4 linked regions of the Drosophila melanogaster genome follow. The protein of the gene in region 1 interacts with the protein of each later gene in a pairwise test. Each region holds a gene or a part of one and is shown on either strand. Other genes may lie near its edges. The genes, in order: RalGPS, CG9902, Arpc3B and CG31121.

Evidence for each region.
Region 2: the proteins of RalGPS (region 1) and CG9902 interact in a two-hybrid assay, tested with the Drosophila melanogaster proteins (one large-scale study listed by BioGRID).
Region 3: the proteins of RalGPS (region 1) and Arpc3B interact in a two-hybrid assay, tested with the Drosophila melanogaster proteins (one large-scale study listed by BioGRID).
Region 4: the proteins of RalGPS (region 1) and CG31121 interact in a two-hybrid assay, tested with the Drosophila melanogaster proteins (one large-scale study listed by BioGRID).

Annotation. Positions count from the first base shown.
Region 1 is NT_033778.4:16,780,181-16,787,812, forward strand, and holds the start of RalGPS (Ral GEF with PH domain and SH3 binding motif), read left to right. Parts: upstream 1-3,490; 5' UTR 3,491-3,702; intron 3,703-4,589; 5' UTR 4,590-4,728; intron 4,729-6,994; exon of another isoform or gene 6,995-7,307; intron 7,308-7,632. Other genes in the region: resilin, read left to right, coding at 368-1,387, 1,727-1,861, 1,989-2,696.
Region 2 is NC_004354.4:16,539,584-16,550,223, forward strand, and holds CG9902 (uncharacterized protein), read right to left. Parts: upstream 7,938-10,640; 5' UTR 7,852-7,937; coding exon 7,765-7,851; intron 7,698-7,764; coding exon 7,271-7,697; intron 7,215-7,270; coding exon 6,964-7,214; intron 6,897-6,963; coding exon 6,303-6,896; intron 6,242-6,302; coding exon 5,428-6,241; intron 5,341-5,427; coding exon 4,100-5,340; 3' UTR 2,541-4,099; downstream 1-2,540. Other genes in the region: CG9903 (uncharacterized protein), read right to left, coding at 1-97, 170-1,198; Arp2 (Actin-related protein 2), read right to left, coding at 9,659-9,829, 9,895-10,323, 10,394-10,603.
Region 3 is NC_004354.4:17,102,446-17,109,058, forward strand, and holds Arpc3B (Actin-related protein 2/3 complex, subunit 3B), read right to left. Parts: upstream 3,408-6,613; 5' UTR 3,331-3,407; coding exon 3,325-3,330; exon of another isoform or gene 3,212-3,324; coding exon 3,038-3,211; intron 2,542-3,037; coding exon 2,197-2,541; 3' UTR 2,126-2,196; downstream 1-2,125. Other genes in the region: CG4991 (uncharacterized protein), read left to right, coding at 1-955, 1,064-1,239, 1,399-1,640.
Region 4 is NT_033777.3:24,889,691-24,897,469, reverse strand, and holds the start of CG31121 (uncharacterized protein), read left to right. Parts: upstream 1-2,864; 5' UTR 2,865-3,285; intron 3,286-5,634; exon of another isoform or gene 5,635-5,895; intron 5,896-7,779. Other genes in the region: CG11069 (uncharacterized protein), read right to left, coding at 1-51, 108-294, 353-544, 601-739, 794-887, 942-1,059, 1,119-1,584, 1,640-1,784 and 3 more.

The sequences.
Region 1 (7,632 bases):
TGGCAAGCAAGCTCAGTGATTGAGATTTTTGCTTTCGACCGCATAGAATCAGCCACCGCTTCTCTGAAGACGATCGTATGTGGCAGCCTCATCAGCTGCATCAGCAGCAACAGCAGCAGCAGCAGCTGTTGCGCTGGTTGCCACACGCTCCACAAAACCGCCACCTCCAACTCATAGTCGAGTTCGTGTGTGTGCATCCTAGACTTTCAGTTTTTCGGTTTTGCCTCATATAAATACGCCATGTGGCAGCTACCACAGATCAGTCAGAATTCGGCGCTGCTTCCAAGCGCTAGTCTCATCCCAAAGATTTCGATCAGTCCGTAGACCGAGCTTCAGTTCCAGCTTCAGCTTTAGATACAAGTGGAATATGTTCAAGTTACTCGGCTTGACGCTGCTCATGGCAATGGTGGTCCTTGGGCGACCGGAGCCACCAGTTAACTCGTATCTACCTCCGTCCGATAGCTATGGAGCACCGGGTCAGAGTGGTCCCGGCGGCAGGCCGTCGGATTCCTATGGAGCTCCTGGTGGTGGAAACGGTGGACGGCCCTCAGACAGCTATGGCGCTCCAGGCCAGGGTCAAGGACAGGGACAAGGACAAGGTGGATATGCAGGCAAGCCCTCAGATACCTATGGAGCTCCTGGTGGTGGAAATGGCAACGGAGGTCGTCCATCGAGCAGCTATGGCGCTCCTGGCGGTGGAAACGGTGGTCGTCCTTCGGATACCTACGGTGCTCCTGGTGGCGGAAATGGTGGACGCCCATCGGACACTTATGGTGCTCCTGGTGGTGGTGGAAATGGCAACGGCGGACGACCTTCAAGCAGCTATGGAGCTCCTGGTCAAGGACAAGGCAACGGAAATGGCGGTCGCTCATCGAGCAGCTATGGTGCTCCTGGCGGTGGAAACGGCGGTCGTCCTTCGGATACCTACGGTGCTCCCGGTGGTGGAAACGGTGGTCGTCCTTCGGATACTTACGGCGCTCCTGGTGGCGGCAATAATGGCGGTCGTCCCTCAAGCAGCTACGGCGCTCCTGGTGGTGGAAACGGTGGTCGTCCATCTGACACCTATGGCGCTCCTGGTGGCGGTAACGGAAACGGCAGCGGTGGTCGTCCTTCAAGCAGCTATGGAGCTCCTGGTCAGGGCCAAGGTGGATTTGGTGGTCGTCCATCGGACTCCTATGGTGCTCCTGGTCAGAACCAAAAACCATCAGATTCATATGGCGCCCCTGGTAGCGGCAATGGCAACGGCGGACGTCCTTCGAGCAGCTATGGAGCTCCAGGCTCAGGACCTGGTGGCCGACCCTCCGACTCCTACGGACCCCCAGCTTCTGGATCGGGAGCAGGTGGCGCTGGAGGCAGTGGACCCGGCGGCGCTGACTACGATAACGATGTAAGTGTTTGAGATAGCTTAGCAAATAGGGTATATGGTAAAATGGGATTTGTATACGGGGATCACTGGGTGGAATTGACCACAAGGGAACACCGCTCCACCGCCCACACCGCTGCACACTTGCCCTTGCAAATCTTTGGTAGACTCGTTATCGCTCACCTGCACAGCCATCGGCGTTTAAAGCTTGCATCCCCATAGAAAACTGAATTCTTGATCCCAGACACTCTATCTCTCTGTGTTTCTCTCTTTCTCCACACGCCCCAATCCGTTCTCCATTCTCCATGATCCGCTGTCCATGATCCATGCTCCATGCTCCATGATCCGTTGTACGGCGTTTAGGAGCCCGCCAAGTACGAATTTAATTACCAGGTTGAGGACGCGCCCAGCGGACTCTCGTTCGGGCATTCAGAGATGCGCGACGGTGACTTCACCACCGGCCAGTACAATGTCCTGTTGCCCGACGGAAGGAAGCAAGTAAGCGGCGGCGGCAGCGATGGCGGGCAGCAGAAGGCGATGTGGATCCACCCACTGCTCCACCACCTCATCCTTCTGTCACGGCTAACATTGTTATCTCGTTCTCTTTTCTCTTTGTCTTTCTTAGATTGTGGAGTATGAAGCCGACCAGCAGGGCTACCGGCCACAGATCCGCTACGAAGGCGATGCCAACGATGGCAGTGGTCCCAGCGGTCCTGGAGGTCCTGGCGGTCAGAATCTTGGTGCCGATGGCTACTCCAGTGGACGTCCCGGCAATGGAAATGGCAACGGAAATGGCGGTTACTCCGGTGGACGTCCAGGAGGCCAGGATTTGGGACCTAGTGGATATTCCGGTGGTCGTCCAGGAGGTCAGGATCTAGGCGCCGGTGGCTACTCCAATGGCAAGCCGGGCGGCCAAGACTTGGGACCAGGCGGTTACTCCGGTGGTCGCCCTGGAGGTCAGGACTTGGGTCGAGACGGCTACTCCGGTGGACGTCCAGGTGGACAGGACCTCGGTGCCAGCGGCTACTCCAATGGTAGGCCAGGCGGCAATGGCAACGGTGGATCCGATGGCGGTCGTGTGATCATCGGTGGACGTGTGATAGGCGGCCAGGATGGCGGTGATCAGGGCTACTCCGGCGGACGTCCCGGTGGTCAGGATCTTGGACGTGATGGCTACTCCAGCGGTCGTCCTGGTGGTCGGCCAGGCGGCAACGGCCAGGATAGTCAGGATGGCCAAGGATACTCGAGCGGCAGGCCGGGTCAGGGTGGCCGGAATGGATTCGGACCCGGTGGTCAGAACGGTGACAACGATGGCAGCGGTTATCGGTACTAGGAACGACTCACAGACACATTTAGCTAGATTCCCCGAACATATAGCAATACCTAGTGTTAAGTCCTTCTAGAACTATGTCCCCTACCTATGCCCCTCATCCTTCCGCATCTATTCGTGCCCATTCTATCCCACTTCTTGCTGTCTTTCGCCCATCCATTCAGCCTGCTCAATTCCTCGTAGTCGTAAGTCCCTGTTGATCTAAATGCAAGTGCGAAAAATAACCCAAAAAAAGGAATGAAATGATAAAGCTACTTCCGATGTAAGTAAAGAAATTAAATACATATATATTTTTTATAAAAGTTAAGGACTTTCATTGTTTGGCAAAGGGTCGGTATTTTGGATCATGGGCTACATACATATGTACATTTTTGGAATTTAAGATCGAAGCTTTAAAGGGACATTATAATCAAATTTCGCATTAAACTTTTATCAATGCTAACAAGTTTCAAAAAAGAATTTAAAAAAATTATCAAGACTGAGTTTTTTGGCCATACGGCTCGAGTCAATGCTACATTGTTATCCAGGTTCCCAACCAAAATGTACTAATAAATTTCAATTATAACTTGCTATAACAAGAACATACAAAACAAATTTTAAAATTAATATTTAAAGAAATTATTTGAAAAACAGTTTTAATAATGAATATCTAAGTCATACACTGAGATACATAAAAATATGGAATGGAATCTGATTAAATTATAATGACTTTAAAAAATATATTTAAGAAGCATATTTTACCGTTCGACTTATATTAGTACATTTTCGTGAGTGGTATTTCAAGCCAAAAGCCACACGGTCACACTGTACGTTGGCGTCGGCGTCGCGCGCGGATCGTTTTCGGCTAATTCGCTGCTGAATTTTCGTTGTTCTCGAGTTTTAAAACAAACGAACGAAAGGTGAAGCCAATAAGCGTGGTGAATAGTAATTAAAAAAGCGCGACGCAGTGGCTGTCATCGCATGTACATCGATTATTTGATATAAAATGCACCAGCAGCTGGAGCTCGAAGTGAGTTGAAAGTGCGGGTTACATAGGTGGGGCGGCGAAAGCCTATAAATAACAATATGCATTGCTATTTCGGATTTGGGCGTCGCTATCTTCGTCCATTTGTCGCCCCAAATGCTCCAAGATCCAAGTGGCAAGTGCAATGCGTTGTGCCATTTTTTTTTGTAGTTTGTCGGGGACTGATTACGAAACTACGCCCAAGTGGGTGGTGGGTGGTTGGTTGGTGAGTGGGCGCCACACTTTGCATACAATGAGCTTAGAACCCCAAACGACAGCAAATTGCGTGAGAGTGGCTGCCTGTGTATCCGTGTTTATGTTCGGCTTCCCGTTTTCCGCTTTTCGCGTTCAATTCTATCGATTTATTTCCTCCGCGAAACAAACATTGATTATATTCGAACATACTCGTAAATGTCTCGAAATGTGAATCATCGGGTGGCGGCGGCCAGCGAAACCCACTTGCCACTTCCTTTCGGCGTTAGATCAGGTGATAAGCGGCTTGATAAGAAGATACTCGCAGTCGCAGGCAACGCCTCTGGATTTTTAAGAGCCAGCTGCTGTTGATAAGCACCGCAAAAAACGATGTGCTCCATTCGTATCCCAAATAAATAAAGCATGGAAACACTGCAAAATGTGATATTCATCATTAACTTTGTGGTCTGCCGTTCAAAAATCCAAATGTACTCGTATTACATGCAAGTACTAATTGCAACTTTGCTCTTCTTGGAAATGTAGTGTATATTCTGTAGTATACTACTGTAAAAAAAACCGTCGAATTATTAACATTACATTCCCCAGTCCAAATTCATATCAAGTACGAAGTATTTACTAAATATTCAAACTGCATGCAATTTTCTTTCGGTGCATCTGTTTTGCCCGGACTCGTCCAACAGGATATGTGCGACAGATGTTTTTGAATGCGTTGCCAAGATGCTGAAATGCTGCATTTCAAGGTTTCTCGCCCGTTTCCAATTGCCTTTTGTTCATGCTTATTCCTTGGACTTAAGTACAGCCACTCGACGCAGAAATTGGGTAAGTGGCTCAGTTCTAGGCTCGCTGCTCCGCGACTGGCTGGATGCTCACCAAGTGACCCACTTTGGTGGCTCACATGTGCCATAGATCGCATGTACATATGTATGTATGTACATGTATAAGCAGCTCATGAAACAAATACAAAACACGAGAATAGGAGATGAAAGAAGAAACCCCAGCTCGATTGCTTGGCCTTCCTTGGCATTGTTTTTGTTCAAGCTACTACCCTACAAGTGGGTATTATAATTGCACGCATAAGTTGGCAACGTTATGCTGCAACGGTGAAATCTTAGAAGTCGTATCTTGCATTTGAAACTACTTACATATCTACCTGGCCAAAAATCATGTATCTACCTGTTTTTCCGCGAAAACAGATCTTCAAATCGAAATGCCATCTGTTTAGAAAAAATATGCACAGAACCCAAATTCCGTTTTTCATTTTGTATACAAATTCGGAAGAACCGGAAACGGATGACTATATCACTGGCCTGCCATAAATAACAATTTACGTCTTGTTTATGTGGGAGTATGTTGTGTTTAAGGATGGTATAGGACAAAAGTTGCAAAGATCAAAAGTGGGCTAAAAGTTCTCTTACAAATTGGCTCTGAATGGGATCAGTATAACATAATATATAGAATTGTGCCAATTTTATCTCATAAATAAAGATGTGTTTAGGGTACTCCGCCTTCGATCCTCGAAAGCAGGCTTTCTTGCCTTGCTGCTGCTTTGGCACCTTTCCATTTGTAGTTTCTCTCTTTGTTGTTAACCAGCGTAATTACATGTATTTATTCTGGCATGCATGTGTAAGCAAATAGTTAGACGACTGTCTGATAACGCCCCTCGCTTTTCAATGGGAGATTAGCTAAATGTTTTCCCACTCGTGTAGAAAACCCAAGTCGAAGGCTGATCGTAATAGAGGCTAAGTATTCAGTTTTAATCGCAATCTTTCGAGGCGGTTATTGAACCTGTCAGTTGAATATTTCAATCGCGAATATCACCGGGCGACAGCCACTCGCTTGCCGTTGACCTTGCGAAACGGTCGCTTCTGTAAATATGCATTTCGCCACCCCGCTTTTGAACGGCAAAGAAAGCTGCTCCAGAGATCTTTAACCCCCCTCTTCTAGAGCTGGAGGTCAGTGCGAGTCAGCGAATGGGTTGAACTGCAAATTCCCTTGATGGTCAGTCATCACTTGTCATCATAGCGAATTCCAGTGCTACCCACAAGTTGAAGAATTTATCAATGGAAAATGCCAACACAAGAGAAAAAAAAGAAACGAGAAATCTCACCGAGTTTCCTCAAGATTATGTAGAAATGTGCTCGTCAGTATATGCTATTGTATTTTATTTAAATACAATTGCTAGTCTGATAAACAAAAAACCAAGAATCGAAATCGCCCATAGGCAAATGTGATTTCCTTGAATTCTACAGCTGCGTTATTTGTTTTCTTTTAAGAAATTTGTGTAAAAGCAATAAACACACTGAATTTTCTGTGGGAGTATCGATATAGTGGGCGATGTTTTTGCCTCCAAGCAGGCATACATATGTACATATTTCGCCATATCCCTGACCACGAAAAAAAAAACAATCAGTATTCATTCGCCCATCAAAAGTTTACAAATTCGCATTAAAGGAGCGCGCTGTCTGGCAGGAATTATTTACAAATGCTATGGATTAAATTGTATCCAGTGGGTGGAACTTTACGAGCCCTCAGATGAGGCAAGTAAATCGTTGGGCTTTAATTGCATTGGATGATATCTCCATTAAAACGCCGACCAGCCGAAGGGAAGTCCAGAAGAAAAATGGCACAGATTGGCGCAGATACAGATACATATGTATATGTATGTATGGCCATATATATGAATTCAATAAGGAGAGAAGTGATGTGTATATGGAATAGTTCAAATAGTCAATAAAGTCCATTTGTTCAAAATCTTGAGGCAGTCGTCTGGCATTTTGAAATATAATTCGCATACGCCTGGTGTCTTGTCTACATCTTGTTTCTGTTTTTGTTGCCTTTCCGCCCAATTTGTTTTCAATTCATCTGTATACTACAAATCTAAAATATATAGGACTGTATTTTTTTAATTCTTTTGCTGCAATAGAGATATATATGTATGTAGATTAAATCCCAACTGAGCACAATGAGTTTGAAACGATTTAGAATGGAATTCATAATAGATAAGAACAGCATAAAAACAATATCGTTCCCCAACCGATTTTATTTGCATCCGTCTTGGGAATGTATCTTTTGGATTTCGCCCACACTAGTCTCGAGATATTTGCGCTGTTATTTCAGAGTCGGATAATTCAATTTGCTCAAACGGAAAAGCGCAAAATAATCGAAGGAAACCGCAGGCAGAAGCCCAGATATACCAATGACAAAGTGTGGACGTCATTGCTTTTGATCAGCTTTTGCTTTCAAATGATTATATCTTAATTGAAATTAATCAGACGGGGTCAAAACAGTCAGTCTTAGAGGAATTTTAAATACATATGTGTATTGTGGTTGGTGCAATGATGGGAAATAAATGAATAGTGGTTTCTAGAAGGTTGTACATGCCGATAATGATCCGTAATGTAAGTGGTTACTTTTGTTTTCATTTCATTATTTCAAATAAATATGTTTCTCCTTTAATTACGTAAACGTATATGTACATATGTACATATTGTGTCATTTCTTGATTGTATATTTCGCACTTAAGCGACTGCATTTTGTTTTGTGTTTTTGTGGAAATGAGAAAAATGCCGGAAACGAATGGCTTATTTAAATTTTAATTTTCTATGCCTTGGTCGACGGGTTCATTGAACTGGGCTGAAAACCAATTTGGTTTCTAAACGGGTGACTTGTTTTCCAACCAAACTTTCCGCTGACCGCTGCAGCCCGTGACTTTTTATCAGCGGC
Region 2 (10,640 bases), on another chromosome or scaffold:
AAGTTAGTGCGTCGGTGGAGGATCGGCAAAGGATCTTGGACAGCAGATAAGTGGATAGATAGCCGGCGAGGGGCAGACATACGGCAGCTACAAGAATCTATAGGTCCATATAGGTCAAAATTAGTTGTTGCCATTTCGAATTGTATATCAAATGGGGAACGGCACTCACCTGCCAGGTGAACTCGTAGAAGACGAACGAGTTGAGACCCACCGTCAGGCCCACGAGGCACAAGCTGAGTACGACGGACAGTGGCTTCAGGAAGCGAAAGATGAACCTAGTGGTCCGCGGAAGGCAGAGTCGCAGCAGCACACCGATGGCCAGACAGGCCACCAGGGCAGCTGCTCCTCCGGAAAGCTGGCCAAACGGCACTGTTAGCTCATCGTCCTCGTAGAGTATCCGGCCCAGAACCAATATCCAAATGGGCAGCAAGGCCAGGGCCAGCAGGCTATTGATCGTGGTGGTGGCCACAGAAAGATTGATATTTCCCTTAAGGAAGACGGCGCACACATTGGCCAGTCCGCCACTGGGCGAAAGTGCCGTATAGAACAGGGCCAGCTGGAGTGGCCAACTGTCTGGCCAAAGAGCACGACCCAGTCCGAATCCCACGGCGGGCATCAGCACAAATCGACTGACCACACCCACCACAGGTCCCACCGGTCGGCAGATGATGCCCGCCAGGCGCTGCATATCCAATACTGTTCCGAGATTGAGAAACATCAGCAGAGCCAAGGCGGCGGACACATAGGTGGTGATGCGTTCGTCCACCACCTGTGTTCTGAGCACTGTTATTGGCAGGGGTTTTGGATATGTCTCCGTCACCGCACCGGACTTCAGTTCCACCTCCAGTGAACTGTATCCAAAGCGAACTCCAGTCACATATAGCGCTCCCCGCCAGCTGCCCAACAGATCGAAATCCTCCTTCTTTATCTCCAGCGGTGGCGATGACGCCCTCCGATCATCCTTGGAGTACACCACAAAGTAGTAATCCAGCGAAGAGTCCTTCGGTAACACATTGTATATGTGCAAATCCACGCTCCAAGTCGAATCCTCAAAAAAATTCAGCTCGTCTCGATCATAATCCACCAGCCAATTGCCGGCCAGGTCGCCATACTCAGATCGGACACCTTGCAATCCCAGAATCATCAGCACTCCCACCGCCACAAGCAGCCGTCCGATATTTTTATTCACATTGCCCATGCTGCGTCGTTACACCAACTGACCAACAACTCTGACTACTCCGACGAATCCGAGTGCTGGAGTGGGTCGTGGATCACAAAGAGGCTTTATCTGGCCATCGAGCAGACGGTTCGATTTGCTCTTATCGGACGGGCTCAGGTGCGAACCGGAGGTGTGAATAATAATATGAATAAATCAGGTTGGTTTGTAAATGTAAAGGTCTTGGTGGGAATTTCTAATTCAATTGAGTGCATCTTATCGTCGTTGTGGGCAATGATAAGCATATTAACTTAGCGTATCTATGGGAAAGTCGAACGAACAATGGGTCAACAAAAAACTAAAGCAAAGAAGAAAAGGAGCAGAAATAATAAAAATAAATAAAATCTATAAAAATGCTGAAATATTATCAATTCAAATTTAGTTCATTTTTCAAAAATTTCAATTGTTTTATTTTTTAAAACCTGTGACTGTACAAATCCGCTACCTGCTTGTCTAAGTTATATTGGGAATTCCTTTGTTTGTTGTTATTTCGCATTGCAATATATTGCACTTTGTTTAGATGAGCTCTAAACAATTTGCTACTGATTACGGCCACAAAGAAGGCGAATTGTTAAAATAACATTTCGATCGGGGGCAATAAATTGCTTGGCTGGCTGTGGGAACTTCGAAGTCACCCGGTAATAAAACGCTTTAAGATTGGTTGGGTTTGTTTCTGTTTTTATTATACCCATTATTCGTGGAGTAAAAGGGTAGACTAGATCCGTTGAAAGTTATGTAACAGGCAGAAGGAAGCGTTTCCGACCATATTATATATATATATATATATATTCTTGATCAGGATCAATAGCCGAATCAATCTGGCCGCATGAACGTCTCGATCTTGGGAGCTATAAAAGCAAGAATGTTGAAGATTAAGCATGCATCTTCCAGACCCATGTTGCCACGCCCACATCTGTCACGGCCACAGTTTTGAAAAATGCTTTGTTATTTTTGTATATTTTTATTAGTCTTGTAAATTTTTTAACGATTTGATACGACACACTTTAACGCCCAAAACTGAAGCGGCCACACTTTTGAAAAAACTCACCTATTAATATTACCCAATTACCTAAAATCTATTCATATCACAGAAAAATGATGAAATTTCTTTTTCGCATTTCCACTAGCTGAGTAACAGGTATCTGATAGTCGGGAACTCGACTAAAGCACTCTCTCTTGTCTTGGTTTGCATTTGTATTTATTTGCACTTGTCTATTGAAAGTTAGCCGCACCTGAGAAAGTGCAACATTGATTTATATTGTTCAAAAGGGTGAGGAAAGGTTAATTAAGGAGACCTAATTGGTGTATAAGGAAGCGGATACCTATTTTGTCAAAGGCTCGGGAAAAGTTCAATGATATTATAGAGAGGTGGCCCTTTGGAGAGAGAGCAATCTTCTTGTTAGTCAAGTTGTAGTCTTGTAGCAGTTTTTGTGACTTTAATTTAGGAAAGACTAAGCTAACTTTATAATCTAGAGGAATGTTGGAGAATTTAGGATATCACAGTTTTCATTTTTGGATAGCTTCTTTAATTGCACTTCGATACTTTGCGTTGGGCTTTTTAAACTCTTTTAATATGTTTGTTGTGTTTATGGTCCTTTTAATGATCAAGAAAGTTTCTGCTTCTAACACGGAACTGCATGGATAAGGGGGCAAGTTGAAGGCAAGAAGAGCACGAAGCATAAAGGTAGCAAACAATGCCCCTCCGGATGTCGAGGTGCTCGCCATAAACATAATTTGAATCTTTGGATGCTGGGTGGCTTACCTAGACCGATCGCGATCTAAAGACAGAGGTGGCTCTCCTCTGCGAGCCGTACAAGGCTAAGGCCAGTAACAAGTGGGTTTTAGACCGAACAAGCATAGCAGCCATATGCGGGAAGGTAGAGGTGATCAGAGGTTGAGATCCAGGTCGAAATCGGCACAAGAGCACTCGACAGCCAGGAAGCAGCCTCATACGGCCTACCGACAGGACACCATGAGACTGAAGGAGTTAGACGGCTCTCTTCACTAGCTGACAATCGACGAGGCAGACTGGGCGAACGCAGCAGCGGATAAAATGGCAGCGAAGTTGGAGGAGACCATTACCACTTGGCAGATAAGCGGAGACGTGTCAAGCTGACCACTTGCGGCCGGTCACGTAGCCCAAGATTCTGGCGGCTGCGAGAAGCCTCAAAACCAGAAAGAAATCAGGACCCGATCGGATCCCATAGAAGGCAACCAAGGCAAGCACCCTGCCGAACCCTTCTCGTAAAGACCCATCTGCCTTCGAGAAGGTGATCGCGGCGAGGCTCAACACAGCAATATCGGCTGCATGGGGACTTTCTACAAACCAGTACGGATTCCGGAAAGAATTGTCGACGCTGGACGCGATCTCCACGGTCACTTGGTTTTTAGGTAGCAGGTTACTTGCTGCACGCCGTAGGTAGCTACTTCAGCAATCGGGTGCTTGTCCTCGAATCGACATCGAGATCCAGAAAGTTCGGGTTCATGTCCGGAGTCTCACATGGCTCTACAGTTTGCTTTTCCGGAAAGCACCAAGATCGTGAGGTTCCAAATCTTTGGTGCCCCTAATGCGAAGCAATGCTTTGCGGCAGTACCTTATCCGGTTTCACATCTCTACTAACATCGAGGCTGTATAATAAATTGTTACGTAGTTATGGTATATATGTAAGTAAAGAAATAACAAAAAAAAAAAAAATGGCGTTGCATGTGAAGCTTATCTTTGTGTTTTCTAGTATTTGGCAGATCCTGTTCCGTTTGTTCCTTTTTTTTTGGCTTTCCTGTCGCCTGTCTTGCATCCAGTCCCTCTACTTTGAACAGGCTATTTAGGGGGACCTGTTTGAGATCACTAGTTTCTATGACATCTCCTGGGGACTCCTGGGTCTGTTATCCAGTTCTTATGTGCTTCTTGGACAAGAACTGTAAGTCCAGAGTCTTCTGTGGCACGTTTGTAGTTTTTAGGGCGTCATGGATCATATGCGCTTCAGTCTCATCGGTGGGCTTCAACACTTCTGTTTCAGTGCTTAATTCGGAGTTTGCGGTCGGCGAAGGTGTTTTTTGCTCTTTACCTTCACCGGGGGAACCTACAGTGGTCCCCTTCTCGTTAAATTCGTGTGTAGCCATCGTGGAAGTTTCGGAATTCACGCTTTCAGTTTCTGATCCTGTGCGAACGAGCTGTGAACATGGCTGTCCGGCTGCTTTTGCAGATTTCGCCATTTTGAGGTCCTTCAATAACTTCATTTTGGCTATAATCGAGCTGCACTCTATCATGTCGTTGGGCCCGCTAACCACATTCTCTAGCTCTTCCTTGCTGAAACTCCATATGTCGGCGATCGGCTTAAATCCTTTCGTTTCGTTGGTAAACATGGGTCGTGACTTCATCAGCTCGGCAATTGTACGCTTTTGTTGATTTTGCGGCTGAACTGCGATTTTTGGCTGCTCCGCGACGACGGGCTGTGTAACAAAGTGATTACCCGATGCCTCTGGAAAGATCGATCGTCGCCCACCGCTCACTTTTCGATCCAATTCAGGCAAATTGGCTTTGGCTGCAATGGCTGCGGCTCTAATCCGATTCAGGTGGCCATTTCTGGTGTAGCAGTGCTCCGAATCGCTTGAGGAAGTCTCATCCCCGTCTTTCGAAAACATTACTGCTTTTTGTTTTCGAGACTGGACTGCGATTCTTGGCTGCTCGTTGACGATGGACCGTGTAGAAAAGTGCTTATTCGATGTCTCTGGAGAGGAGATTTCAGACAATTTGGCCTTGGCTGCAATGGCTGCGGCTCTCATCTGAGTCCGGCGGCCATTTCCTGTGTAACAGGGCTCCGAATCACTTGAGGAAACCTCATCCTCTTCTTTCGAAAACAATACTGTTTTTTGTTTTTTAGGCTGGACGGCGATTTTTGGCTGTTCCTTGACGACGGGCTGTGTAGAAAAGCGCCTATTCGATGTCTCTGGAAAGGACATTTCAGACAATTTGATATTGGCTGCAATGGCTGCGGCTCTAATCCCAGTCCGGCGACCATTAGCTTTGGATGCAATGGCTGCGGCTCTAATCTGTGTTCGGCGGCCATTTCCTGTGTAGCTGGGCTCCGAATCACTTGAGGCAGCCTCTTCCTCGTCTTCCGAAACTGTGGGATTTAAAATTCAATTCATTAGTTTGACTGAATCTAATCTTATATGAAAGTTGCTCAAAGAAAAAAGATTTCGTTGCTAACCTTCATACCAACATTTGCGTTTTGCGTGTCGCCGCATTTTCAGCTCCTTGGCTTTCTCTGCTTTATCATGCACTGCTGGTGTTGATTCAGCCTTTCCAGCTGCATTCGAGAGATTAGTCTCATTTTCGTAGCCCTCTTCTATGGTGCCATAGTCCAACTGTGGTCGATCCCTGTACTTGGCATAGTCGATCTGGAGATACTTCAAGTCGTCGCATGATTCGGCCATGTTAAGAGACACAAATTTTCTCTTCAGGTCCTGGCTTTTGAGTAGGGCACTGCAACGCTCGTCTAGCGTTTGCCAATCGAGAGCCCATGAGTATTGTTTATGTCGCGGTTGGAAGACCACGGTCAGAAGATCCTTGGTCATGTTGCTGGGTAGACGCAACGCCTTCAGCGACTCGTTTATTGGATCGTAGTCGGACACTGGATCTTCATGGTTTGTTATGGTCATAATCTGGTGCACATCGATGGTGGAGCTCAGCAGTTCGTACTTGACGTTGCCAATCGCTGGAGCAGGGAGCCCGCCCTCCTCCTGTCGATTTTTCATGATCCACGAACAGCGCTTTACTTCGTTATAATTTGATGATGTGGGGTGGAGGTAGAAAGCAGTCAGCCAGAATTCTGCCTCCATAAATCCATGGTCAGAGAACAATTTGGCTAGGTCAGCATAGTTTGCAGACATCTTTTGCTCCAAATCGAGCATAAAATCAACGGTTAACCCGGGATGATATCTCCACATTTCTAATGCATTTATTTGTTGCCCAATAATTTTCAGCAGCAGAGCAATCTTAGCAAATCTCCAGCCTGAAAAATTCTAAATTAAAAAAGCGCGGTGCTTAGTAAAGTTTTCGCTTTTGTTAGTTCTCATCACTTACCCGCTCTGCCAGCAATTTGTACACAAAGCTCAAAACTTCCTCATTGTTTGGTACATTTTGAAAAACCGGATCTACTTGTCTATCTTGTTCTTCGCCCACCTCAGGCTGAATCTTTTCGTCGTCATCACTGTTCTTGTAGTTGCTTATGTTGCTGGCTCGATTTCCCTTGCATATCTGCTGCTTGTAGTTGAGAATTAGGTTTACTAGATGCGGTTCAATGCAGCTGTTTCGCTGTTGTTCCATCTTCTTGAGCTCGTTTAGAAGAAAGCGCTCGCTGCTCTCGCGCTCCTCTACATAGCGATCCATTAGCTTTTTGAACTGTGGCAGGTGCTCCAGGAAATCGTGCTCGTTAAGCGACTGAAGATCCATCAATAAATTTCCCAGCACATAGCTGGAGTAGGCATCTAGTATGACGGCAAATGAAGTGACCATACATAGATTGAATTTCCTAAATGCAATTTTCTCAAAAAACGCATTCTTTCCGAGTCGAAGACGGACGCAAACGCGGGCAATAAGCCGAGCTGGCGTAAAGTTAATATCATGTGAGCTCGAAAATTCCTCCATGATCTGGACATAGAACCCTATGTTGTACATCTACGAGGTGGTTTTATGACGACATTTAGTTTTGTTATGTTAGTTACATGATGAATGTTTTCCTTACCAAATTATCAATCACAAAGCCTTGATTATCATCCCTAACAAAAGCGGCCAAGAGGCATACATGACCGATTAGTGTAATTGTGTTTTCATCCCCTTTAAAGGACACAAATGGTGCATTTTCGTGGATTTTCAGCCAAGCAGCTAGCATCCGAAGCGCCAGCTGTTTTACAGCCTCAAAGTTGCCGGCGTTAAAGAGCTGGATTAGTCGCAGCAGGGCCAGAGATACCCCTTCCTGCATGAGGAAAGCAACATCTAAGAAATAAGGCAATGATTAGATGAATCCTTGACGAAAATTAGTAATGGCTTACCTTCTCCTGATGCCGCTTGAACTTTGTGTTCGATGCCGTGTTGTTTATTCAGCTCCAGGTTAAGAAATAGCTGATGCAGGTAGGGCAGGCTCCAGGGCTTCGTCTGGAACTGCAGAACGTACGACCAGTTGATATTGGCCAGTTCACCAATCTGATGGAATGCCGGCATTGCTTTGGTGAGGGTGTAGAGCAAAAGCTGCTTGAGGCCTTCGGAGCAGGTCTTCCACTCTTGGCTAAACCACATCAGCAGCGAGTGGTAGACCAAAACCCTGACCATGTGACGCAGCGCTGGGTCCTTTAGCGACTCGGAATCCCTGGTAGGCAGGTGGCACACCTCCCATCCGTAGAGTAACTGCGACAACCGGTCATCGCCCATTAGCTCAAACACATCCAAAGCGCTGTGCTTATTGCAGAATACAAACATTTTCTATAAAACCAAGATTTAAGCAATGAAAACGTGTGCATAAGGATTTATGTACAAAGCAAGTCCTTACCGCCGAAAACTCGTCGTACTCTAGTTTCCTCGCACAATCCAGAAACTTTTGTTCATCGTGCACATCCTGAGAAAATATTATATCCATTTTGCAGCACTTAATTCATGGCAATGCTATGTCAAGTCGATTTCCTTTTTTTTGCCGGTTTCGATTTATTTTAATTTAGCTTGAAAGTTGCAACGAACAACAGCTGAACCCGATTACTGTAAATCGATGTTAATCGAAAGGGGCAACGCTGTCTACACGAGGTTCATATACTCGCTAAACTGTAAGGCTAGGCGTATTTGCTAAATGTGGAAGGTGCATTCGCTAAGGCCATTGTTGCCAACTGAAATTTTATTATGCAGGCAAAAGTAATTTAAAAATTTATTTGAAAGAAACAAGAATACAAAACACTTACTATAGACCAGAAGGGTATACGAGATTCGTTGGTAATTACATATATATGTAACAAGTAGAAGGAAGCGTTTCCGACCACATAAAAGTATATATATTCTTGATCACGATCAATAGCGTTTCCGACCATATAAAAGTATATATATTCTTGATCAGGACCAATAGCCGAGTCAATCTGGACGTGTCCGTCCGCATGAAAGTCGAGATCTCAAGAACTGTTTGTTGACCCATGTTGCCGCGCCCACAAACCGCCCAAAACGGGCATGCCCTCACTTTTAAAAAAAAGTTTTGAATTTTTTCATATTTTTATTAGTCTCTTAAATTTCTATCCATTTGCCAAACAACTCTTTTCGGGTATCTGATAGTCGGGGAATTCGACTATAGCATGCTCTCTTGTTGTCATTTTTGTTTTGTTTTTAATTTGGCAAAAAAAAAACCATAAAAAAGTCGTATGCGATTTAGTTTTAGACTACAGTATACAGTACACATCATACATAATTACGTTTATTGCATTCACTTACATAATTGGCATTCCACATTCATTTTACATATACGGATATATGTATATGGATCACACATATGTATATGTATATACTATTCATCATATGCCGATAGTTGCGACCCCAACAATCATCAAATTGCAACTAACTAGAAAAGGCAGGTAAGGAAATTAAATCAAATTTAACACTTCGACTGATGGTACTTTCGATTATGGGGCAACGTAAATGCGTAATCTTGTGACTTCGATTATCTGTATCTTTATGGGTAGGTAACTTCATCTTTATCTAGTTGGAGACAATCCAGAAATGCTTACTTTAAGGTCGAGTGTCGGGAGGCGAGACGGGATCGAATCAATCAGTGTATTTAGTTAACGACCGAACTCGCGCTTTCTCCTTCTGTGCTATGCAACTTCCTCGTTATATTTCCTCTGTCTCTGTCTCTGTCTTAACACACACACGATTTTAGTAGCTGCTACTAGCAGACTTGGCCTAGTTAATACTTAATGTGAAATACTCGCTGGAAATGAAACATTTTGCGTTTACAAAAATATCGCCGCACTCGAGGTGCTTTGAATTTATATATGTATATATATATAGTTATATATGCGTATTCATTAAAGAAAAGGGCTTTTGGGTTTGAATTTTAGACGTAATTATAAACAATTAAACACACTAATGCAGGGTTACACAATTTAGGCGACTATCGAATTAAAGTTTTCGCGCTCAAAGAAATATTACATTATATTGTACGGGGATAACGACCAGTGACGACATGTCTGCGATTATAGATAATCTAAGGGCAAGTGGACCAATCCTGCTCAACAGACACGCCCACTCGCACAGGCACACACAAAAAAAAAAACATATATAGACGGATATATCACGTAAATCTGAAAGGTTTAAACCTATAGAAAATAGAGAAAAGAAATCTATCACTTTTTTATCCTATTTCTTGCGGTCCGCACACACACACACACTGATTTCGCATCCATCCGCCTCTAGTGACTGATCTTTTGCAGCTTTTGCAATACTTTGAGACCCTGTTCCTGATACTCCTGCTTGGACATCCAGAAGCCGTCGCGATCCTTTGTCACCTCCGCCAGAACAGCTCCGCCGATAAAGACCATATCCTTGCGTCGCGGTGGATCCTCAATGCGTATTTTGAATTTCTGCAATGTAATCGTTCAATTTGTTAAACACGATGTGCATTGATTAGCTTTACTTGACAACTTACCGCCAGCTTTTCCGTATCGTTCTTGAGTACCCGCTCCAGGTACAGCTGTTTGATCTCACGCTCCAGCCGACTGGGAAGACCCGGATACATGGTGGAGCCGCCGGACAGAACTATGTGCTTGTAGAGTTCGGGCCGTATGTCGATGTCTGCCGCCTGGATGGTGTTGAAGGCCAGTTCCGCAATGCCCGGTCCCTCGACGTTGATCAAATGCGGCTGGAACAGAGCCTCTGGCGCCTCAAATCTCTCGCCACCGACCTTGATAACACGACCGTCGGGTAGCGTGTACGATTCCACCAGCACCGTCGTCTCCAGGGCCAAACGCTGCTCCATCTCGATGTCGTAGCCAATGTAGCAGAGCTTCTCCTTCATTATGCGAACCGTTTCGAAGTCGGCGGAATGATTGAAAGCGTAGCCACGTAGTAACAGTAACTAATGATCATAGATAGATGCGAAAGTATAAGTCACAGTTTGGCTATATGTAATTGTAAGGCAAAGCAACCTTAATCAAATAGCGAGTGATATCCCGACCGGCAATGTCCAATCGTCGCGTCAGATGGGGCAGGGCAAACTCCTCGTAGACGGGACATATATGCGTTACACCATCGCCCGAATCGATCACCACGCCAGAGATCAGACCCTGGGCATATAGCGTCAGCACGGCCTGGATGGCAATGTACGCCGAATCGAAGCCATATTTCTCGAACATCACCTGTGAACACAAACACAACAATGTTAGTTTGAAGTGG
Region 3 (6,613 bases), on another chromosome or scaffold:
GAACACTGGAAATAACCGGAAGACAGAATGATAAGAGTCTGGAGAAGAATCCGGAGCGCTTCACGAAGAATGTGACGGAGAAAGGCGCCGATCCTGAGAACGGAGACCCGGTGCGCAGGCGCGGCCATGAGACCAGCGAACTGGAGGCGGCTACGCATCTCTTCAAGGGCAGCGTCGGTGCCGGACTCTTCGCCATGGGCGATTGCTTCAAGAACGGCGGATTGGCAGGAGCAACCATCCTGCTGCCCATCATTGCGGTGATGTGCGTCCACTGCGAGCGCATGCTGATCCGTGGTTCCGTGCTGGCCGTGGAGCGCACGCCCGGCGTGGACTTTCTCGACTATCCGGAAACAGTGGAGAAGTGCTTCGAGCACGGGCCACGCCCACTGCGAAAAATGTCGCGCGTAATGAAGCTGATCGTTGAAATGTTCCTCTGCGTCACGCAGTTTGGCTTCTGCGCCATCTACTTTGTCTTCATCACGGAAAATCTGCACCAGGTCCTCCAGCAGAACGGCATCGTTATCAGCATGAGCATGGTGATGCTGATCACCCTGCTACCGGCGATGATACCCTCGCTGATGACCAACCTGAAGTACATCTCGCCCGTGTCGCTGTTTGCCAATGTGGCGCTGCTCTTCGGCTTGATTGCCACCCTGACCATAGCCTTCTCGGATGGACCCATGCCGTCCGTTGGCGACAGGCACCTCTTCACTGGCGGAGCTCAGTTGGCCCTGTTCTTTGGTACCGCTCTGTTCTCTTACGAGGGCATCGCCCTCATCCTGCCGCTGCGGAACTCGATGCGCCGACCGGAGAAGTTTAGCACCCGGTTCGGAGTGCTCAACTCCACGATGTTCTTTACCACGGCCCTGTTCATCTTCACCGGATTCGTGAGCTATGTGCGATGGGGCGAGGAGGTAGCCGGCAGCATAACGCTAAATCTTGTAGTGGAGGAAGTGTAAGTAGAATCACCAGGTTAAGATAATATGAAATTACTTGTAATGATTTTTTACATTTTATTTTCGAATCGCCTGTTTTGTTATTAATATTATTGATTTCATTGCAGTTTTTCGCAGGTGGTGAAAGTGATCGCTGCTTTGGGCGTTTTCCTGGGCTACCCCATCCAGTTCTTTGTGATGATTAAGATTTTGTGGCCCCCACTAAAGAGGTCTAATAACTGCACTCAAAAGTATCCCATTACCTCGCAGGTGTGCCTCCGTTTCTTTATGGTGATGATGACATGTAAGTGGGTTGTAAATTAAAAAAATATATATATATACAATTGGAAATGGAATCACTATATTGATCAATATCAATGATAATGTAGTAATATCCGTTTTAAATGATCATAGCTATAGCTTTTACGCTATTCGGAATATATTTCTATATGTGCTTTTCCAGTTGGCGTTGCGCTGGTCGTTCCCAAGCTCAATCTGTTCATCTCGCTGATCGGAGCACTGTGCTCCACCTGTCTGGCTTTTGTGATTCCGGTGCTGATCGACTTCGTGACGCGGGCGCAGGTGCCCAAGGCACTGGGTGTGTGGTCCTACATCAAAAACATTCTCATCCTGACGGTGGCCGTGCTGGGCATCGTCACTGGCACCTACCAGAGCATCGTGGAGATCGTCAAGGAGTTTAAGTAGGCTTAGAGAGCTAGCAAGTATATTTTGTACATAAATAATGCTGTCATTCCGCGGAACTATGTGAATGCGTTGTCCTGTTCTGATGTAAGATTAATTTGTGTATTTTTCCACTCTTTTTTTTATTATTATTTTGTTGATAGTTTTAAGCTGTGCATATTTTTTTTTTGTTTGTATGTATAAAAAAAATGTTTATTTGGCACAAAAACGAAAGGAGGCATAAAGGAAAAACATGATCTGCAGCTATAACCCATTTTAATAATTGATTACCATAGCAATAGGGCTTTGATTGTGTGAGAGCCTGCAAATGATCGTTAAAGCCATATGTATGTAATAAATGCTATTCATCGATTTTATAAATATATATGTATAAAGTATTAACTAGCCTTCAGCCAACAATGTTTAACACTAAGTTCTTTTACAAAGTGAAAAATATGCGCTTTTGAGAGCGTATAAATCAATAAACATAAATCAACAACGAATTTAATACATTCAAAGCAGTTTATTCGTAAATTTTGGTGGTAAATACTCTAAGATCGGCAGTATATTAGTGAGTCTTTTACATTCCCGGTCCCGAAAGACTCTTCTCCATGAACTTCTTCTTGGCAAAGCATATCCACCACTTGCTCGGCTTTCCATCCGGAGTATCAAAGACCTTTTCCAGCAATCTGTTTCCGGTTTCCTGGCGCAACTGCAGGAAGTACTGACGCATCAGCTCCGGATCCTCGGGCTTGGTGTATATTCCGTTCAGCGGAAATCCCGCATCTCCGGGTATATCGAACCGCGAGATGGCCAGCGTATAGAGCTCCTGCTGACCCTGCGATTTGCTTGTGCATCGGGCCAATCGCTTCAAACATTCCGTGATGTAGAGCGTTATGTAGATGAGCACCCTGTCCACCTCCGACTGCGATTAGATATACAATGTATGGGTAATAGGGGTTTTTTAAAAAGTAATTTTAAAAGTTTAAACATAGCAACAATATTCTAAGAATGATATCATAATTGATAAGACTATTATTGCTATAAGCTATATAGTAATATAAGCTATATAAGCTATAAGCTATTATTGAACTTTTAAAAAAAAATTCCAAGCTCCAAAAAAATAATTTCATTATGTAGAAATACCCAACTCTTGGAACACCATATAAGAAAGGGGTATTACTAAAAATTTAACAAATAACTTCACTCTTATCAGGCTGATTGTAACGACATATTTCTACAAATAAGGGCGGTGAGATAACGCACTTGGTTTTAACATTATAAAATTGACTCCACTAGGGCTTTAAGATTGTTTCGAAATATTTAACAAGCTGTGCCGTCTTCTTAATGTATCTTCATTTTAAAAATTAGAATATCGCCTCGCTTTATCTCTATGCTCATTTCTTTGTCCAGTCACCAACCTTAACTTCGTAAGTGCGGAAGAAAATGTTCGATTTCCAGAAGTAGAGTGACTCATCGATGATGTCGTTGGGAATATCAACAGTGGGCGCTGGTCCTCGGACTTGGGTACGTAGTGGTAGAAGGGCCATATTCCCCACCGAGGCTTGGAAATCCTCTATTTCCGAGTGAAATGCCTGTGCGAACCATGTAAACAAATGGACAGGTTAAGGGTTTAATGCGTTTAATGTACATTTATGTTAAGAAACTGCCCATCTGCAGCTGCATACCTCGGTTGTATTTTACTCACCGGCATTTCAATGACTTCTGTCTTGTTTTTCAAAAGTTAAAAATAAACGAAAAATATAGTAATATATGATATATCAGAACTTCCTAGTGATGTGAAAACGTTATCTTTTTGAAGTTGAATAAACGACCCATTGGCGTTAAAATGAACTGGTTCGTTCCGAGTTTATTTGGTATTTTTTGAAAATATACATTTCTAAAGATATTATTTTAATCATTTAAGCTGACATTTTCCCACATAAATGTGCAAGTACGTCTCAGTTTTCGTCGTTTTATTTTAGTTCTGTTGCATATGAAATTGATATCAATGCAGAAATGGAGTTAACAGGACTTGGCTCTTTCGGTTAGAACTTGTTGCGCTTGCTAATTAAAAATGGGAAAGATATAGATAAAAAATAGGAAAGAAATGAACATAACAACTGTAATAAGGTCCCCAATCGAATATATATAATATATATATTAATATACAATATATATAATATAATATAATATAGCTTTTTTATTAAAAAATAATTAATTGAACGTTTCCAACTTTTCGCGCGACAATGAAAAGCTTCAACTTTGGCGGTAAGTTACAAAGGCGAAAGCAGTGTGCCCAGACACATTTGGGTTAACACTCAAACTATTTCACATGTTCCAGTTCACTTTGAAAATACAAATTACGTCTATTAAAAACATTATTCGATGGTCGACACAGTTGATTGTTTATAGATAAGAAGTTTGTAAATTGTGTATAAATATAAAATACTAGGTAAAATATAATCGATCGATAACATAATATCGATAGAACTAATTGTATAGTCTGAAGAACAAACGATGGTGTGATCGAGATCGAAGAGCTTAAATCAATTGTTTTAAAGAGAAACATCGTGAATAAAAATACTTAAAAAGATTGTTACAGACCAAGACAACAATAATAAAGCAGTAATACATTGGAATATAGTGCTATTCTTAAAAAATCAAAACCCGATATAATTGACATATTAAAATCAAAAAAAGTTTATTTTGGTGAAGACGCGACTATAGTTCAACTGCGCAACGCCGTAACTTCTTAAATAAATTAGAGTTTGCCATTAACATTACTATTCATAGTAGTATTAAAGAATCACATAGTATTCAATTATTTGGTGTTAGCCAAAAAGGCCATATAGTTGACGAATTGCCAGAATATATTGAGCACACGTTTAATTTAGAGCAAACAGACCTAGATACTGTTAGTTTAAATGCTAATGTTAATATCCATCACTCACAACATAATATTGAGCAATATAATGCGAAGAAAAATAAAGCCCTTTTGGAATATAAATTTCGAGATTTTGAAGCTCTACGAAATATTGATACAACACCTGGAGTTAATAAAAAATTCGAACCTAAATATCGCGGCCCATGTACAAATAAATATACAAGGAAAGTAGAGTGTTTGAAAGTGACCGTTAAAAATTAAATTGATGTAGATGATTATCAACTAACGCAGTTACCTTTTAAGAGTTTATTGGAACCAGCGAGATTGAAATATTGGAAAAACGGTGTAAACCTTACCATAGCATTGTAGATAGATAGTAAGATCGAGGTCGTTCATAAGCCAGGTAGGGCGAATGTAAGCTGTATGTAAATACAAAATACTAGGAACACTAATATCGATAGAACTATTAGTATGGTTTGATTGAGATCGAGATTGAGATCAAATAAAGTATATTAAATTCCTATAGCGGCACAGCAGTAGTATTTTCGCTGAACAAATTAGTATATGGTACATGGTATTATTTTATGCCTTGCGATATTTATAACTCTTACCGCGCTGGTCACACTGTCCTCTTGAGTAGTTGCTGTTGTTGCGTTGCTGAATTCCGTTCAAAAGCGATGAGAGTTTGTAAATAGTCCCTTCGTCGGCGTTTCGTGCGTTTATTTACCTTTTTCGCCGTGTTTTGTTTTGTTTTTTTTTGCGTTCACTGGCTCGTTCGCTGCCTTCCATTCAGCACTGAGAGAAAATCGAGCACCCGACGATGCGGTGGAATTTAATTGCTAATCGCATTTTATCCTTGGCTGCTTGCGGTTTCCTTTTCGCCTTTGTTGTTGTTGTTGCTGTTGTGTGCAGCAAATAAACTCGTTTCGCGCACTAGTGTGCCCTCGTGCGTGCGTGTGTGTGTTTGTTTGTTTGCTTGCGCGGCTTTTTGTTTCTTGTGATCATTATTTTTGTTATTATTGAATGCAAATTCGACGAGAACTGTGACACTTCCAAGCAGTCCAACAACAACAACAACAAACAGCAACAGTTGACAACGGAAGTTGTAAGGTAAGTTATGCTCTTCATATATAGTAAATGTAACAATATTAAAGTCGTCCCAAAAGTAACTGTTCATTTCCAAATAGAGAAGAAAACGCCCTTGACAGTCGAAGTAAAATGCAGTGCACTGAGAAAAATAACTTACTAAGAAAATGTACAGTAAAGCGAATTGGTATACAAAATGTATATATTTTTATATGATTTCTTCTGATTGGAAATATTTGCTTCAGAATCAACTTGGAAAATATGTCTTGATAACATTAGAGTTCCCACCTCGGGGCAAAAAGCTAATAGGATCCCTAGGTGTACAAGTAAATAACTTTCCAGAATCCACGAGAGAGAACCTATTAACTAAGTAAAAAAAAGCGTAATCCCCAATATCATAATTTTCTTTTATTATTAAAATTATCTCAATAGATAATAGAAAGTTCCTTGCACTTGTAACCCTAAATTATTTCACCCTTATTTAAAGATTAAGATAAACAATATTAAGGCAATCTTAAAATGGAGACAAAAAAGATAAGATTATTTGGCCGGCATTTGGTCACTTTAAACCTGGCCATCAGAATTGTAACATTTTAGGCTGAAATATGGAAATCCAACAATATACGAGATTTTTTATCACACCTTAAAGACAGCCAACAAAAAACCAGTTGGGCTCAGGAATGGCAATATGTTAATGGATCAGCAATGCATTTTTGGTCCGCTAACTGGCGATATGTGGGAAAAAATGTATGTATTTTTTGCCGTGCAGAGAAAGAAGGAAGAGAAAAGCAAAGGCACAGAAATGATGACAAGAAGACGAGGCTCTGGCTCTTGGCCCGACTTCCAAGTCAAATGGAAGTTAGCCGGTTTCCATAAAAAGCAGCTCAGACAGGCGAAAAGAGAGGGATTCTCCATTCCCCATTCTCGATTCTCGAGTGAGTGGGTCACTTGTGGTGTCTGCGGCTGGCGAGGGTTAACCGACGGGTCCGTGGATAGGTTAAAGCGGGCGACCAGTTGCGAAAGT
Region 4 (7,779 bases), on another chromosome or scaffold:
GGCGGCCAAGCCCACAGCAAAAGCGCAGGAAGCGGCCACATCGATGGTTTCCTGTAAAATAAATAATATAATAATCCGATAAGCTACCATATTATCATCCCACTTACATCGGGATCCGGCAATCCCAGTCGCTCGTGCATGAAATCCGCGGGTTTGGGACAGATCACGGAGGCGGTGGGAGTACAGTTGAGTTTCCTCGACTGGAAGGCGATGCTGTGCAGCAATGAGGATGCGTAGCGTGTGTGAGTGCCCTTCGTGTTGTCCTGCAGCCAAGGTTGAAGTCCCTTGAAGGAGCTATTGGTACAGACACCTCAAGTAACTCAAACTATAGTATGAACACAGCCTTACTCACCGCACAGTTCCACTAGCCAGTGCAATACTTATGACAAGGACATAGGTCACTGCAATGGCTGCGTTGAAGGGAACCTTGACCACCAAAAGGAACGCGATCGTGAGCTGTTCCGCCAGCACAAAACTGGACCACAGGGCCACTAGCAAGTAGGCGAAGACAGTACCATTGTTGTACTTCACATCCAATAGCAGACTGAAAGAAATAGATATATAGTTTCGAGTCCCGATACCCAGAGAGATGAAACTTACGGATATACAACACAACTGGCTATGACGGCAGATACGGCGGAAAATGGTATAGACACGGAGTTGTAGGCAATCAGTAGAGTTGTGCCCGAATAGAGACCCTCTGGAGTATCCTGCGAGAACTTCTTGCGCCAAATCGGAACTATGGTAAAATATGCTTAGACAGCTTAACATTGAAGGGAAAATCGAAACTTACATAAAGATATGGTAGTCAAAATTCCACAACCGTACGACAGCCCCAAAATATTAAGGATCATGCCGTTTTTTGTAAAGAATCCATGTGAATCGTCCTAGAAAATTATATTAAAAAATGCTTAAAATGTATAAAAAATTAAGTTTCTTACCCCGACATCTGTGTAAAATGCCCATAGGATGCTTAAAGCCAATGGAAGAAGCAAAAGGCGCAGAAATAGTGTCTTCATACCAACGAGTCCACAGGAGAAGGTTGATGCTAATAGTTTCCTAAAAACGAAGTCAAGAATTTTATCATATTTGAAAAAAAAGAAGTAAGTTTAACTTACAGATACAGCATAACCCAAACTTTGAGCTCTCCAGGCTTTCCATAGGCCAGAGGCACTTTCCCAGAACCCATGTTGTTTAGAGGGGCATCCGAGATCGGTGTTTCCCGAGAGAAACGTTCCACCAGCGCCTCGATCTGCTGGCTAGACTCCAGGAATCGATCCCGACTGCGACGATCCACAGTGGACAGGCAGAGATAGTACATCAAGGGATTCTCGAGCTGTGGACAAGGGAATCCGATGCCATGAAAGTACTCCAGCATGGCACGAGTGCCTCCTGAATAGACCACTCCGCCCAGGCAGAGGAATAGGGCTCTATCCAGGAATGGGAACACATCGGAGCGAGGTTTCTCCAGCGACAGAAGAATTCCACAGCCCGTCTTCTTGGCCGTGTTGGACAAAATGGATATCAGCAGATAGGCACTCAAGGGATCGAGGCCATGGGTCGGCTCATCCAGCAATAGCATGACTAAAATAACATTTTTGTTATTTAAGGAATCTTTGTGATATATTCATCATTTTACCAGGATCTCTGACCAACTGTATTCCAATAGCCAGACGCCGTGCCTCACTGATATTAAGATACTCCACTCTCTTATGCGCCACTTGGGAAAGGGCCAAATCCGCCAGCACTTGGCGCACTTTGGAACTCTTCAGATAGCCACTCAACTAAGAAGGGTTTGGGTATTAACACAGTCAGTTATTACTTAAAATCTCTTCATATTCATTATTTTATACAAATACTCACTATAGTGGGGGTATAGTGTAGTGTTTGGGCCACCGTTAGACCAGGAACAAAGGTGCAGGATTGGGTGACATAGCCACATCTCTGTTGGAACAATGCCTTGGAGAGCGGAGATCCATTGAGTAGCACCTGACCACGAGTTGCTCCATCGGCACGTCTAGAAATAACATCTAAAAGAGCTCTCTTGCCGCTACCTAAAGTTGGTAAAATGATTATTATTATTTTGTTTTAACAAAATGTAAATTAAAAATATACCCTTCGAGCCCAGAATGGCCATAACCTCGCCGCTGTGCACGGTTAGATTGACGCCTTTGAGCACCAGGGCCGAATTGCCGGCTCCATTGAAACAGCCACCACCATCCACCTGTTGTTCAGGCCAAAAAGAAAACAATAAAGGTTTAATAGCAGGGGGTTTTCACGAGTCTAAAGAGAACGTACCTCGGTGGTGTGGAAAATGTTGTGGGCTTCCAGTACGTAGTCGCTGCCGATCATTTTCATAGCCACCGCTGGGAGAGCCGCTTTTGTTTGTTTATACTTCTCGTGCTCTTTGGGCCGAAAACACTCTGTTCGTAACTCAAGAGTGGTTTGTTAGGAGCTGATTTTCAGTTCCAGGGAGGGAAGAGAGAATATCAAGAGTGTAAAAGTGAGATTGAGATGTAGAGATACTTGATTATAAATTGGTATTTGGCTAAAACTGAAAACTAAAATTTTACACAATAAACAATTAGGAAAAATCCAACACATATTTTTTCAAAAAACTTTAATACATATTTTATATGATATTTTAGATGCTTTATTAAAATATTCTTCGGTAGTCACTTACCTCCGCGAACACGTCCTCACCAACTGAGCGCTCTGTTCCAACTGAACTGAAACTGTTGCTTGCCATTCCAATTGGCATGGCTTGAACCGCTCCGCTCCGCCTGGAAAGCGGCTCTCTCCGGCCAACTCGCTTCCAGGCGAAGCAAGCGGGCTAAGATGGCGGCCGAGGCCAAGTTCAGATCAGTTCGCTGCGAGCCGAGCTCCGAGAGAGTTGCCTCCACCGATCCGCGGTTCGCGTCGATTCGATTTTTTTCTGGCGGCCCCCTAACACACAGTTCCCAGAAGAAAATTACAAAAAAAAAATATGAAAACACATAAAACGCATTTGGAAATCTAATTGAAATATTCACGGCTTAACGGGCTATAATATACACACATATATCTGTGCAAAGGCGAATATTTTTTAATGACCACCGGGAAGTGCATGCAAATGTGGTTATTTGTTGACTCGCGGAATATCCAATAGATACAAAAAAAAAAAAAAAATAAAAAAAGGAAAAAGTGGCCAATATCCAAGTGACGTGAGTGTGTGTGTGAGCAGTGTCTATATGGTCTATATAAAATATGCAGACATCGGTGTAGCCAGCAGATCGACATTGTAATGTAAGTGTTTTGCCCAAGTTATGAATGAGTGTCACCGAGCGGCTAATTAGAGTCCAACTGGCCAACTGGTATTTACTGTTAATTGTATTAGGCCAACGGCAGCACTTGCCACCTCGAACCAAATGAAACCGACGAGTATCCACCACGGTCCACGTTCCATTCCTTTGGGTATAATACTAATACCTTCTGGTTCTTCTGTTTTTTTGTACTCCCCCCCTCTTCTGTTCTTCTGTTCTGTTCTGTTCTGCTCGCGCGGTCGTCACCATCGCAGGTCAAAGATCCCGCGAGCGGGTTTTGTCTAGCAAATGTATCTTAGCCCACACTCCATCCACCACTGCCACTGCTGGCACTTCTTTGCCGCTCTCCCTGCGCTCAGCGCCCTGCAGAGCCCAAGCGATCCAAAGTGGAAGTCCAACTCGATGCCAAAACCAGAACCCAAGTGCCAGCCAAAGCCGGAGTCGCTCAAACAGCCAAGTGCCTGCTGCTCAACTCAACTCCACTCGGCTCGGTTTGTCTTGTCTTTTATTTTCTCTGCAGCTCACTGCTCCGCTGCACAGGAAAAAAAGCGAGATAATAAATCTAATATACAAGCAATATATCATATTTTAAATATTTATGTTTTGTTTCATCAAATGGCTTCATTTCATGTTTCAGCTAATGGCTATAGCATTAGTATAGTGTAAAAAGATATATCCTTGTTGCAAATTGAATAAAACAAATTTATTTAATTATTTAGTAAACTGTTTCATTCAAAATATTTGATATTTTGTTTTTTAATAGTTCAAATTATATTTCCAACATTTTTATATCACATATCATTATGTAGTATTTCTCGCTGTGTGCCAGTGTGTATCTCACAGATACAAGTTTCAGTTTGTTTGTTTGTTTGGCCGGCTGTCTTTGCCTTTGCCATTGCCTCTTTGCGGAGCTGGGTTCTTAGCTCTCCGGGGATCGCTGGTTGTTTGCTCTACCCGCAGATGCTAGCATCGTCTTGGTCTGGTCATTTCCTCGTAAAAACTGCCTTAAACTTACGATCGAGCACTATAGCCATTATTTGTTTTTATGTTTATACTTTAAGCACATAAATAACTTTTTATGCGCCTTAGAATAGTTTGCATAGCTTATGGGTTCTTTTTTTTTGCAATAACGCAAAAGACTTTGACTTTATATAACCATTCAATTTAATCTACTCATTTCTGTAATAAATGATTGCAATATATGTTTAAAGAAGAATAAAGTTTGTCACGTATTTCGATGACCCGGAGAGCGATGGATTTAATTTCGAACAAGATGTGAAAGCCATAACAGGTCTGAAAGACATTTTTCGCTGGGTAGAGGCAAATACTTTATTCCGGCGTGTACTCTTCCTATATCGGCTCATAAAGAATAACCACGCGGCTAAGCAACTTTCACATTCATTTTGCAATTTCGATGCAGCTGCCAATCTGCGCTCACAATCACTTTCAAAATTTCGTGCCGCGGAACTTGATTTCTCATCGAAAATGAGCTGCGGGCTAATGGAGATTTTGGCGATTGAGATAATTTGGGGCTTTAGCACCATTCTCAGGGCCCCCCCAACTGCAGATTATTGTCAAGCTAATGCCTTTGGCCCTTCGCAATGCAAATTCCCAGCCTCCGTTTCGGGTCCATTTCACTGAATCTCGCACCTAATTAGCCATGTCATGTTGGCCGGACCGTTAGAATGCTGTTAAAGCCATGGCCAAGCTCATTGAAAAAGTTCCAAAATGTATTTTGCTTCTTCGAGCTGACTTGCTGGATTGTTTTTCTAGATTTTCCCATTGTCGTCGCTTTTTGCCGCCGTTTTTTGTGGCGTAAATTAGTTAACAGTATTATTATGACCGCTAACGGGGCTCCCTGATTTGTGGCTGCTGTTCAGGCCCCCCGCAAAAAAGATATCAAGCCATTCCGGGGCAGAGAGAAAAAAAAGCGTTTAGAAGCGGACCGACAGGCAGCGATCGTAATTCAATTTCGACAATTTCAATTCCAGTCCAGAAGAAAACAAATACAGAAACTGAGAAAAAAAAAGGAAAACAAATCAAAAGACTTAAGACAGCAACGCGGAGTCTAGACAAAAAGACCAAGGCGCGGCAAAGAGCCAGCTTAAGTTGAATTGATTGTCAGTTATGGCTTTGTGGTGAGTTCGGATCCGGAGTGGGGTGCTGGTGGTATCTAGCATTGGGTATATGGGATCTGGTCTTTGTCTTGGGTCTAGGCTGGTTTTCTGATCGGTTCTTTATAGGTGTGGCTGCATCTAGTTGGCCAAAACTTGTTCTTGTTCTCTCGGCCTGAGTCCTCCATATGTGTATGTGTTCAATTTCAATTGAACTTAGTCGCTGGTTATTCCGATGGATGGATGGATGAATCATTGCATTTAATGATAGCGGACTCTGGATGAAGTCAGCGGCGGGCCATTGGAATGACGATGATGATGATGATGATGATGAGACGGAGACCCTTGGTCGCTGGCAAAGTGAAAACTCAACGAGCAGGAAATGCAAATTCGAAATTTCCCACTTGCATAGGCAATCTCTCCAGCTGCGGGGCCATTAAAAGTTGCGACCATGAAAATTGTGGGCATTGATAGATACGGTACGGGGCCACAGTGAGTTAATTTACTTTTTATTGTAATTAAATTAACACAGCATAGCTGAAGACGTAAACGAAGAAGAAGCCGCAGAAGCAGAACAGCTGCATAATTAGGCGAAGAAAGTACATTTCAGGCTACACACACTTCGTGACTTTTACGGCCGTAAAAAGAGAACTCCAATTCATTTCGCTCCAAGTTCACAGGCACGGTTCAGACATGCCGCTGACATAGAATCAGAATAGTGGCGGAGTCGGAGTCGCAGATGAGACCTTATTTGATTGGACGTGAGCCGAATAAATTGCTCTTAAAAACCATGTCACATATTTACTTGGCCCCCACATTTTGCACTGGGAAAAATAACTGACACCTAACATTGCTCATTCCCCCCAAGAAGGCTAGTCGTGTAGATTTTGTTTGTATTTCAAACAGCGAAATTAAATGGAATTCTACCAATTTGATGTTGATTTCTGCGCAACTCGAAGATGAGAAATGTTCAATAATAATAAAGTGTGATTATTAAGAAATCTCTTACCACAAAATAGTACACTCTTCGACCAAGCTAAGACATTTTCGTTGAGTGTGGAATTGGCGCCCATAAGACCCAGTTGCTGTGTGTCTTTGGGTCTGTGGGTGTGTTCGGGAATTTGGCCAAATAAGCCCGTCTGTCGCATTTTTATGCATGCAATGGCAACGCAGGGAAAAATTGCCATTTTTCTGTTTTCGTTCGGTTTGCCATGGAATTTATGTCAATTAGCCTGGTGGCACCACACGTGTTTCCGTGGAGGCGGAGGAGTAAATGGGAAGCGGCGGGATCGGCATTGGCATGCAAATTTTTACCCACAATTGTTGGCCACTTTCACAAGTCTTTCGCAATACAGGAAAGTGTTTTGTTTCGACTCGGTTTTAAGTCGTGTTGGGGGGGGAGAGATTTGTTTTGGTTTTCAGCTCGGCGTTAATTGCCTGTAAAGATGCCCGAAACTGTGGCAAAGTTTCGTATTCCGTTTGGGCAATTAATAAAACTGACCTTGCCTGAGTTTTCTAACCGCAAAACTGAAAACTGAACGCTCAACGCTGAAGCGCTGGAAACTGAAAGCCGATCCGAACCGCTGAAATACGCTGAATTGAGACCACCACTGTGGTATTGCCGGTGGTTTCGGTGGTGGGGGCTATGCAGCCATGACGAATATTCGTTGACGGCATGACATTAGCATTAGACTTTTTGGGGTCACAGTCAGCGGAATTCTTGTGCTCGCATTTCTGCCAGCTCGTCGGTTAACTCATTTCTGGTTATGCCCCTGCCGCGGATATTGCCCAATTTGATAGCGATTTGTAGGCCAGATTCATTAGTTTGCTCACAAAACGGGTCAGGTCCAGCGGCTTTGGTTTGCCATTAGTCAGTGTTTAATTAATCATTTTTTCTTCTTGTTCTCGCACCATTTGTTGACAGCAGCTTGTGAGGTATATTAAATCAATCAACAGCTCAGCGGCTTGGAAAAATGTTAGTAACCAGAAACGGACGTATCAAAAGATGTCATACTAAACATTATTTTTCATGACCATTTTTTCTCGCTGTGCACCCATTCACCTGCTGGGCCTGGTGCCCATCTCTGCCCGAATTTCGTCGTTTCGACGTTTACCCACTCATAATCAATTTACGCAGCCGAAACTTTCACAAGTCGCAGAGCTGTGGCATCTCGAAGAATTCCTCGCTGCGTGCTCGTCTGCTCTTTGACTGACTGACTGACTGACTAACTGAGCGACTGTCGCTCATCCGCCATGGAGGCCAGTGGTATAACATGAGCATCTATCGCACAACGTGGCCAGCAATTTGCATACTGGCTTTTGCCGGCCAGCAGCGACAACGATTGGGCACAAAAAAACGTGCT